Anolis sagrei: one gene and its partners. The protein of the gene in region 3 interacts with the protein of the main gene of each other region in a biochemical or structural test. Links are inferred from orthologs where the notes say so. Each region holds a gene or a part of one and is shown on either strand. Other genes may lie near its edges.

Region 1 (3,756 bases), on a different chromosome or scaffold from region 3:
GTTTTAAAATGTTTTAATGTATTTTTTAAAATTCTATTTTAATAATTATTTAAGTGTACATTGTGTTTTAAGGCATATAAAGCTGCCTTGAGTCCCCTCTGGGGTAAGAAAGGTGGGGTAGAAATATCGTAAATAAATATCTCATTTCTGGGACAGCAACTGTAAAAGTATCTCCAACATGACCACAAAAGTAAGTTTACCAAGCTCTTTAAGGCAACTGTTATAGCCTATATATGGTGACAGATCAGGCATGGGCAAACTTCAGCCCTCCAGGTGCTTTGGAATTCAACTCTCACAATTCTTAACAGCTTCAGGCCCTTTCCTTTTCTCTTTCCTTTAGCGCAGTGGTTCTCAACCTGAGGTCCCCAGTTGTTTTTGGCTTACAACTCCCAGAACTCCTAGCAGCTGGTAAACTAGCTGGGATTTCTGGGAGTTGTAGGCCAAAAACATCTGGGGACCCCAGGTTGAGAACCACTGCTTTAGCGGCTGAGGGGGGAAAGGAAGGGCCTGAGGCTGTGAGGACTTGTGGGAGTTGAAGTCCAAAACCCCTGGAGAGCCCAGGTTTACCCATAAATGAGCACTCTATGGACTATATAGGACAGAGTATGATACATAGAACATGTAAGAAATATACAATTTACCTGCTCCCATATGTCAAACACCACCAGAGAAGCTTCTTCACCATCAACTATAATGGATCTGTCATATGTATTGCCTATAAAGAGAGAGACATGAGAACAAGAAATATGAGCTTTCCCTGTGACGTTTTCTATAATGTACAAGGATCTCATCTTTAGAAAAAATAAGTTAAAAGGTAAAGGTTTCCCCTTGACATTAAGTCTCGTTGTGTCCGACTCTGGGAGGTGGTGTTCATCTCCATTTCTAAACTGAAGAGCCGGCATTGTAGACACCTCCAAGGTCATGTGGCAAGCATGACTGCATGGAGCACCGTTACCTTCCCGTTGAAGTGGTACCTATTGATCTACTCACATTTGCATGTTTTCGAATTGCTAGGTTGGCAAAAGCTGAGGCTAATAGCGGGAGCTCACCCCACTACCCAGATTCAGACCACCAAAACTTTCGGTTAGTAAGTTCAGCAGTGCAGTAGTTTAACCCTCTGCACCACCGGGGCGCAGAAAAGATACCTAGTTCACTAAATCCCTGAAACGTGCATCAAAGCAGACGTCTCTAAAGGCGGAGGGTAGGACAACCTGGCCATTTATTTATTTATCGTGTCAGGAGCAGACCAAACAGTTGCATTGCATTTTTTAAAGAAACAAACAAAACACAAAGTTTGCAAGCTTGCTAGTTGATTAAATGCCCTTTGACCAGTATCTGGCCACTTGGAGTGCCACTGGTGTTGCCGCAAGAGGGTCCTCCATTGCGCATGTGGCAGGGCTCAGGTTGCATTGCAGCAGGTGGTCAGTGGTTTGCTCTTCTCTACACTCGCATGTTGAGGATTCCACTTTGTAGCCCCATTTCTGAAGGTTGGCTCTGCATCTTGTGGTGCCAGAGCGCAGTCTGTTCAGCGCCTTCCAAGTCGCCCAGTCCTCTGTGCCCAGGGGGGAGCCTCTCATTTGGTATCAGCCATTGGTTGAGGTTTATTTATTCATTTACTTTATTTGTATACCGCAGTTTCTCAGCCCGTAGGCGACTCACCGCGGTTAACAACAGCAGGAGCAAAAATTAAATGCTAGCATCATACAAACCATTTAAAAACAACACAATAATATACTAAGTAACTAATTTCTGGGTTTTGGGTTTGAGCTTGCCACTTTTGGACTCTCGTTTGCTGAGGTGTTCCAGCGAGTGTCTTTGTCGATCTTAGAAAACTATGTCTAGATTTAAGTCGTTGACGTGCTGGCTGATACCCAAACAGGGGATGAACTGGAGATGTCTCTGCCTTGGTGGATGTCTCTACTTTCCAGCGGATATCAGGTGGTGCAATACCGGCTAAGCAGTGTAATTTCTTCAGTGGTGTAGGGCGCAGACACCCCGTGATAATGCGGCATGTTTCATTAAGAGCCACATCCACTGTTTTAGCATGGTGAGATATGTTCCACACTGGGCATGCATACTCAGCAGCAGAGTAGCATAGCACAAGGACAGATGTCTTCACTGTGTCTGGTTGTAATCCCCAGGTTGTGCCAGTCAGCTTTCGTATGGTATTGTTTCTAGCACCTACTTTTTGCTGGATGTTCAGGCAGTGCTTCTTGTAGGTCAGAGCACGGTCCTGACACGATAAATAAATACCACTTCCTCAGCCTCAGTGGTTCTCAACCTGGGGTCCCCAGATGTTTTTGGCCTACAACTCCCAGAAATCCCAACAGCCTCAGGCCCCTTCCTTTTCCCCCTCAGCCGCTTAAGCGGCTGACGGGGAAAAGGAAGGGGCCTGAGGCTGTTGGGATTTCTGGGAGTTGTAGGCCAAAAACATCTGGGGACCCCAAGTTGAGAACCACTAGTGCTGGCCCCTTTCCCTTCCCCTGCCACTCACCGGCCTCTTCCGCCTCAGGCCCCTCCTCCAGGCCTCCGAAGACGCGCGCCAGGCTGCTCTTCCCGACGCCTCGCGCCCCGAGCAGCAGGACTTTGTGGAGTCTCCCTTCCGCGTCGCTGCCGGAAGAGGAAGTGGAAGCCAGCGAGTCCGAAGAGCCCGAGGCCCGGCGCGGCAGTTCCACCTCCACTTCCGGTTCCTCTTCCTGAGCCGCGAGCTCCCTCTCGTCGACCGGCATGCTGCGCCGGTGCAGAGCCTCCTGGTGCTGGAGCTGCTGCTGGGCCGCGAAGGGCGTGCTCCCGCGCCTCCGGTCGGGAACGTTCAGGCGGGCGCTGCGGTTGAGCGTCATCCTGAGGGAAAGAAAGAGTTAAGTTCCAGCGGGGCCCAATTGCCATTCCTTCGAGGCGTCCTTTCCTTCCAGTATCCGCCACTTACCTCAGAAACTCCTGACACAAACACTTCTGTTGCTTCTTCCCCTTCTTCTTTCACTCCACTCACCTCATGACAGAACTTCGCGCGTCTATTTATACTCTTTCGGATGCTCCGCCTTCGTGACGTCGGTTCAACCCGTCCTCCAATCAGGTTGCGAATTAGAATAGAGCGCTCCCCTCGTTTGTCATCCTCCTCCTCCTCCTGGTGCGTCATAGAAGCCCCTTCCTGAGGGGAAAAGAAGAATGGATTCGGTTGTTGTAGGTTTCCTCGGGATATATGGTCATATTCTAGAGGCATTCTCTCCTGACGTTTCGCCTGCATCTATGGCAAGCATCCTCAGAGGTTGTGAGGTCTATTTGGAAGTAGGAAAATGGGTTTATATATCTGTGGAATGACCAGAGTGGGACAAAGGACTCTTGTCTGTTGGAGCTAGGTGTGACTGTTTCAACTGACCACCTTGATTAGCATTTGATGGCCTGGCAGTGCCTGAGGCAATCTTCTGTTGAGAGGTGATTAGATGTGCCTGATTGTTTGCTGTTGTATATGGCCATGTTCTAGAGGCATTTTCTCCTGACGTTTCACCTGCATCTATGGCAACCATCCTCAGAGGTAGTGAGGTCTGTTGGAACTAGGAAAATTGGGTTTATATGGAATGACCAAGGTGGGGCAAAGAACTCTTTGTCTGTTGGAGCTAGGTATGAATGTTTCAACTGACCACCTTGATTAGCATTTGGTGGCCTGGCAGTGCCTGAGCAGGCCCGTAGCCAGGATTTCGATTCGGGGGGGGGGGGGGGGGGCTGAGTCCAAGTGAAAGAGGGTCAACCCTAGCAAAC
Region 2 (3,756 bases), on a different chromosome or scaffold from region 3:
CCACCTTGACTTGCACTGAATGGCCTTGCAGCTTCAAAGCCTGCCTGGGGGAATCCTTTGTTGGGAGGTGTTAGGCAAGTGGGGTTTATAAGATCCAGGGTGGGAGAAAGAACTCTGGTCTGTTGGAGGTTGGTGTGAATGTTTCAATTGGACACCTTGATTAGCATTGAATGGCCTTGCAGCTTCAAAGCCTGCCTGGGGGAATCCTTTGTTGGGAGGTGTTAGGCAAGTGGGGTTTATAATGTCCAGGGTTGGAGAAAGAACTCTTGTCTGTTGGAGGTAGGCGTGAATGTTTCAGTTGGCCACCTTGATCAGCATTGAATGGCCTAGCAGTTTCAAGGTGTGGCTTCTTACTGCCTGGGGGAATCCTTTGTTGGGAGGTGTTAGCTGGCATTTGGAAACTAGGCAAATAGGGTTTATAATGTCCAGGTTGGGAGAAAGAACTCTTGTCTGTTGGAGTTAGGCCACCTTGATTAGCACTGAATGGCCTTGCAGCTTCAAAGGCCGCCTGGGGGAATCATTTGTTGGGAGGTGTTAGGCAAGTGGGGTTTATAATGTCCAGGGTGGGCGAAAGAACTCTTGTCTGTTGGAGGTTGGTGTGAGTGTTTCAATTAGCCACCTTGATTAGCATTGAATGGCCTTGCAGCTTCAAAGCCTGCCTGGGGGAATCCTTTGTTGGGAGGTGTTAGGAGCGTGGGGTTTATAATGTCCAGGGTGGGAGAAAGAACTCTTGTCTGTTGGAGGTAGGCGTGAATGTTTCAGTTGGCCACCTTGATTAGCACTCAATGGCCTTGCAGCTTCAAAGCCTGCCTGGGGGAATCCTTTGTTGGGAGGTGTTAAATGGCACTTGGAAACTGGGAAAGTGGGGTTTATAATGTCCAGGGTGGGAGAAAGAACTCGTCTGTTGGAGGTTGATGTGAATGTTTCAATTGGCCACCTTGATTAGCATTGAATGGCCTTGCAGCTTCAAAGCCTGCCTGGGGGAATCCTTTGTTGGGAGGTGTTATCTGGCACTTGGAAACTAGACAAGTGGGGTTTATAATGTCCAGGGTGGGAGAAAGAACTCTTGTCTGTTGGGAGATAGGTGTGAATATTTCAATTGGCCACCTTGATTAGCACTGAAAGCTTGCCTGGGGGAATCCTTTTTTGGGAGGTGTTAGCTGGCACTTGGAAACTAGGCACGTGGGGTTTATATTCCTGTGGAATAATATCCTGGGTGGGAGAAAGAACTCTTGTCTATTGGAGGTAGGTGTGAATGTTTCAATTGGCCAGCTTGATTAGCATTGAATGGCCTTGCAGCTTCAAAGCCTGCCTGGGGGAATCCTTTGTTGGGAGGTGTAAGCTGGCACATGGAAACTAAGCAAGTGGGGTTTATATACCTGTGGAGTAATGTCCAGGTTGGGAGAAAGAACTCTTGTCTGTTGGAGGTTAGTGTGAGTGTTTCAATTGGCTACCTTGATTAGCATTGAAAGCTTGCCTGGGGGAATCCTTTGTTGGGAGGTGTTAGGCAAGTGGGGTTGATAATGTCCAGGGTGGGAGAAAGAACTCTTGTCTGTTGGAGGTTGGTGTGAATATTTCAATTGGACACCTTGATTAGCACTGAAAGCTTGCCTGGGGGAATCCTTTGTTGGGAGGTGTTAGCTGGCACTTGGAAACTGGGAAAGTGGGGTTTATAATGTCCAGGGTGGGAGAAAGAACTCTTGTCTGTTGGAGGTAGGCGTGAATGTTTCAGTTGGCCACCTTGATTAGCATTTAATGGCCTAGCAGTTTCAAGGTGTGGCTTCTTACAGCCTGGGGGAATCCTTTGTTGGGAGATGATTACCTGTCCCTAATTGTTTCAAAGTCTTCTGCTTGTGTTGTTAGGCCTAGCTCATCAGCATATATAGAGCTGGGTAGTGGGCCATCCAGTCCAACCCCATTCTGCCATAGGAAGACACCATCAAAGCCCTCCCAACAGATAGCCAGTCAGACTCTGCTTCAAAACCTCCCTCACAGTGATGGGAGAGTGTGCTTCCCATGCCATCCCAGCCTGGGCTTCCTTTCTGACTGATCAGAGGCATTTCCTGGTGCAGCCATTGTTGATGTCCTGCTCCTTCCTCCCTTCCAGGCTCCAAATCCATCTATTCCAGCATATTATTATGATTAGAGCCAAGATCTAATGATAATCCTGCCTCCCTCCCAGGCCCCGATCCTCCTTACCTCAAGCAAAGCTGCCTCACTCTCTCGACACGGCTCGTGTTTACAGCCTGGCTCTTCCCTGCCACTGTCGCCCGGGCGATGGAGGACTGCCACTCCCTGCGTCCAATCACATCTCTCGACGTCACGGCTAAGGGGCGGGGACTCCCGCTGCAAGGCAGGCCCCGCCCACCTTTGTAATTTTTTATTCCCGAAGCCCCGCCCCCGGCGTTTCCTATTGGCTACCTTCCGCGCCGGGGTGGCTTGCCATTGGCTGTTCCCGGAGCGCTCTGCCCGGGAACACAATCTGGGAGCACGTGACCTAAACCTGTGCAGCAAGCCATCCAGATCTAGGGATAGGTTTGCACTGTAGAATCAATGCTGTTCAAACTGCAGTAGATGGGCGTACACTGACCCTATGTAATACAATGTAATGCAACATAATGTATTATAAGGCACTGGCCACATATATATGTAGATACTCCAGACTGCACTATATGAGTGGCCCTATAATATATGTGTGTGTGTGTAGATACTCCATTCCAACCCCATATATATATATATATATATATATATATATATAGGGTTGGAATGGAGTATCTACATATATATATATATATATATATATATATATTATATATGTAGATACTCCAGACTGCATTATATGAGTGGCCCTATTATATATATATATATATGTATATGTATATGTGTATATGTATATGTATATGTATAAGTATATGTATATGCATATGTATATATATGGCCACTGAGCTCCATTATATGGATCTACATATATATTATATATGGTCAGTGCCATATATATATTATAGGGCCAGGGTAGATGCATATAATGTAGTCTGGAATGCACTGAGCTCCATTATATGGATCTACATATATATTATATAGGATATATGGTCAATATCATATATATATATATATATATATATATATATTATAGGGCTAGGGTGGACGCACTGAGCTCCATTATATGGATCTACATATATATTATACATGATATATGTCAATGTCATATATATATATATATTATAGGGCTAGGGTAGACGCACTGAGTTCCATTATATGGATCTACATATATATTATATATATAATATATCTGTAGATCCATATAATGGAACTCAGTGTATTCCAGATTGCATTATATGCATTTACCCTAGTCCTATAATATATATATATAATATATATATATATGGGTCATGGTATATATTATATATGGCCAGTACCATCCATATATATATATATATATATATATATATATATATATATATATATATATAGATGGTACTGGTCATATATAATATATATGGAGACTCATGTAATGGAGGCCAATGCAGTCCAGATTGCATTATATGGGTCTACCATGACCCTATATGTATATGTATGTGTGTTTATATATATATATATGGCACTGACTACACATAAGAGAGAGATCCATATAATGGAGCTTAATGTATTTCAGATTGCATTATATGGGCCCACCCTATAATATAATGTAATATAATGGATACTGGCCACATATTATATATATGGGGACCCCTATAGTGGCGTTCAATGTCTTCCAAG
Region 3 (3,756 bases):
GGTTCAAATGTTTTTACAGTGATACATGTGGAAGCGCAATTGTTTTTATCATCAAGTCCTTTGACAAAGAGCTAGGTAGAAAATGCTGGTAAGATCTAAAGCTGTGGATGTTGCACTGTGCTTTTGACTAGACAATCTCCCTGATAGCTTGGCCTCAGCTAGGACCCACAATCTTGTCCTCGCACTTTACTATTGTTCTATACCCAAAGTTATAATGCTCTATCGTATACTAACCCCTATCTCTATTGCTGCCATATGACCTATGCACTTTATCCATCAGCCCTATCCTCACAATTGTTTGTGCACCAGTCCCTCCACTCATGCCCAGAAACTGATTATTATCGCAGATCTCATTCATTACTGGTTTAATGTTTTGTTTTTATATTTTGTTATAATGTTGTTTTTCTGTTTTGTTTTGTTTTATATTATGTTGTTGTTGAGATATTTTAATGTGCTGTATCTTCACCATGTTGATCGGGCTCATCCCCGTGTAAGCCGCCCCAAGTCCCTTCGGGGAGATGGAGGCAGTGTACAAAAATAAAGTTATTGTATTATAATATTGTGCCTAGCTCCCATAATTAGATTTAACTTTCTGAAGAAGAAGATTGTCAGAGGTTCTGAGCATTTCTCTTCTTGTGCAACAGACCGGACACAGCACTGAGAAGAGATGCCAACGCCAAAAGCATAACAAGGCCAAAGAGGAATCTGGCATCAGATGTTGTACAAGCTTCTATTTTAGGCCATGCAGCAGTGCCAAAACTTACTGTCACAGCTTTGTTTAAACATACTTGAGGATCCAAAATCAGATTGCATTTAGTCTCTTCTGCTGCTGTGAGGTAGTAATGTATAGTGCAGACAATGCAAAGGTCTACTTTCTATTTCTGACCCAAAACCTGAAATAGAGTGCTCTGGGAATCAAAATACAACCGTTCACCAAGTCAAGAATCAAAACCATAGTCTCAGCTAGTAGTGGAAAGTGCTAAAACAATAATGGCCAGTCTATGTGTGTCATTACAAAGCTCTATCAGCTGGAGACGGGAATTCCCAAGTCTGATTAGGCATTTAATATGAAGAAAAATAAAGGTCTCCCTTACCAAGTGAGAAACATCCACAGGTAAGGCTGCAAAATGGTCACAAAAATAAAAGAGTATAGGAAGACATTGGATTTTTTAAATACTACCTTATCTGCCAGCTGGAATAAAAAAACTGACATTCTCCCCCAAATATGGCAGGACATCTCGGTATGCTTCACTATCCTTATTCTCTGCAGTCCAAGTTGTATATTTTTCTATATTACCAGTGTAGCCCAAAATGCACATCACAGCCAAATGCACAGAAACTAAACTTGCTAGGACTGATGGAAGTTGCTGTCCCAAAACACCTGGAAGGCCAAGTTTTCCCACTTCTACCATAATAAATTTTGGGTAGGGGTAGGAAAGAACAGATAAGTGCAGGGAAGAGGCATTTTCTCTAGACATTATTTCCCTGTGTCATCTCTTGCTCCTTCCCAAAACTTTCTGCCTGGAAAGGGAAACGGGTGAGGCAGGGAAATGGTTTCCAGGATAGATGGCACTCCTGCCATTATTCACCTTCTCTCTGCCACCCCCACCCAACTCTACCCCATGGCTTTACTCACATCAAAATGGCTGCTGAATTACTAGTACATTTCCTACAGTTTAAGCTAGTCTCCTATGTCATTTCAGTAAGTAATCCCTTTTTTATACAGACTGTCATACTTGAAATAGACAAATTAAGACATAGAGTATGCAATGAAGAGCCACTAAAGTCAGTGTTTAAATCATTTAGTGGCCAGCAGTGAAGCAGAGTTGGATCAATGGTCATGCTTGATAAACACTGGGAGGTTAAAATCATAGCCACACACTAGGGAGCCCTTCTGTCATTGAGAAATGATAATTTTCTATGGCTGGGGGATTCTGCGAGTTGTAAACAAAAAAGCAGTTTTTCCCCAGCTCTGGTGTCCCTAAAAGGAAGCAACCTGCACTTCAAAACATAGCCTAGCATGAATAACTGAATGGACAGTAGCCACAACCAAAATGTCTATCAGAATAGCATATCACATCTGATATTTTCTTTGGCAACAAACAGCAGCTTACTTCACTGACCTGATCCACATTCAGCTGCCAAGACATGCATAAGGAGAACAGTAGCAATTGCTTTTGTTCTGTACAGATTAATTTTGGGAGGAGAGATTCAGGGAACCTTACACCCATCCCTAGACCCCTTGAAGCCATGCTTTATTGTCAACTCACTCTGCTCATTCCAAGCAGCCGTGTGCTCTGATTCAGAGGCTGTGTTTCCACATTCAGGCAGCCCTGCATCACTCCGTGGGCCCCAGTAAAAGATCCGGCCAGCCAGATTCTCCAGTTTCTGTAGCGCCGACATCTTACACCCTTTGTTCTTGCTGGAGTTTCGAGAGTTCACCTCAGCTCCATGGTTCATGTTTCCCTTTATTTTAATCACCAGTTTCTTTGCCTGCTCCAGCTCTGCTCTCACATCAAACAGAGTGAGGCCACTCCGTCAGGGTCTAGGAGAGCACTTGCCCCAGTCGTTGCCATTTGCAAGAAGATTGGGACAGACACAACCCTCTTTCTGTCCTGCTGCAGGAAGAGAAGGCTGAAAGCAGCAACAGGAGAGCAGACACAGCCCAGACTCAGCAGAGCTCTTTACATTCCTGTCCAACTGATTGAGACAAGCACTTGGCTCAAACAAACTGTTTGCGACTTCTAACCGGGAGAGAATTTTCATCAAAATGACTTCGCTGGACCAAAACACTCATGACAGTTCAGCAACTGGTACGCAGCTCTCCAGGGCAGCCATCCATGTGCATACCAGGATTCCCCAACTCCCACGATGTCCAGGAAAGGTCCATCATTGCCCAGTCCATAGTCTCTGTGTATTCAGCAACAAACACGGGCAGCCTGGTCACTTAAACAGCTGGTCAGAGGGTGAACAGCGGGCAGATTTGATTAATACAGAAGGAGGGAGGGAGGGAGGCAGGCAGGCTTGCCAGATCAACTGTAGTGAGGGCCACGCAATAAGGCTTAAAATAGCTCAGAGATTCTCTGAATCCCTTTCACCCTCAGGCCTGAAGGTAGGGCAAATAAGGCTCTCACCAGGTAGGAAACCCCCACAACACAGGGTGATCCTCCAATGCAAAAGAGGGAGAAGAATTTCAGAAGACAGAGCTAGTCAGCTAACACAATGAAATGACCACACCCCAACTCAAAAAGCTTGGCCTATAGTGTGGCAAGACAGATACAGTCTGTAAGACAGAGGCAAAAGAAGAGCTTGTTCAGATGCTATGTTTTCTGGTGATGGGCACTTCCTCTCCCTAAATGTTAAGGCTGCAAAACACTCTTTTGCAAAATATCATTCATTGTTATAATGATCTGTAGAATCTATTTATAAAACATTTCCAAATGTGCACAAAAAGTGTGCATAGCTGCACAGTCCATAATCTTCCCACAAAGATCAGGAATGAAAATAACGGCTCACTTCTAGTGACTTAACCTTTGCTTTGCCTCCATCCAAAAGTTAAGAAGCCACTGGTAAATGAAACCTCTTCTAATAAATAAGAAATGAGTTGGTGGAAAAGAGAAGGAGAAAGTACAAGCCAGATATCTTTTTCTCATATGGATTATTTGCCAAAGAAATGTATATTTAGGACAGGAATCCAAACACGGCAGTACGGTTATTGCTTTAGCCCCCAAAGTGATGCAAGATGTAACTGACCAG

The links.
Region 1: of the proteins of PRKACA (region 3) and RRAD, one has a biochemical effect on the other in vitro, tested with the Homo sapiens proteins (2 studies listed by BioGRID). The link is inferred for Anolis sagrei from reciprocal best matches to the Homo sapiens genes PRKACA and RRAD.
Region 2: the proteins of PRKACA (region 3) and BAD form a complex in vitro, tested with the Homo sapiens proteins (2 studies listed by BioGRID, with this or other methods). The link is inferred for Anolis sagrei from reciprocal best matches to the Homo sapiens genes PRKACA and BAD.

The regions. Positions count from the first base shown.
Region 1 is NC_090028.1:20,917,976-20,921,731, forward strand, and holds the start of RRAD (GTP-binding protein RAD), read right to left. Parts: upstream 2,964-3,756; 5' UTR 2,927-2,963; intron 2,842-2,926; 5' UTR 2,841-2,841; coding exon 2,495-2,840; intron 716-2,494; coding exon 642-715; intron 1-641. UniProt on the Homo sapiens protein: May regulate basal voltage-dependent L-type Ca(2+) currents and be required for beta-adrenergic augmentation of Ca(2+) influx in cardiomyocytes, thereby regulating increases in heart rate and contractile force.
Region 2 is NC_090032.1:16,530,952-16,534,707, forward strand, and holds the start of BAD (bcl2-associated agonist of cell death), read right to left. Parts: upstream 2,313-3,756; 5' UTR 2,200-2,312; intron 1-2,199. UniProt on the Homo sapiens protein: Promotes cell death. Successfully competes for the binding to Bcl-X(L), Bcl-2 and Bcl-W, thereby affecting the level of heterodimerization of these proteins with BAX. Can reverse the death repressor activity of Bcl-X(L), but not that of Bcl-2.
Region 3 is NC_090022.1:112,796,816-112,800,571, forward strand, and holds the start of PRKACA (cAMP-dependent protein kinase catalytic subunit alpha), read right to left. Parts: upstream 2,971-3,756; 5' UTR 2,461-2,970; coding exon 2,271-2,460; intron 1-2,270.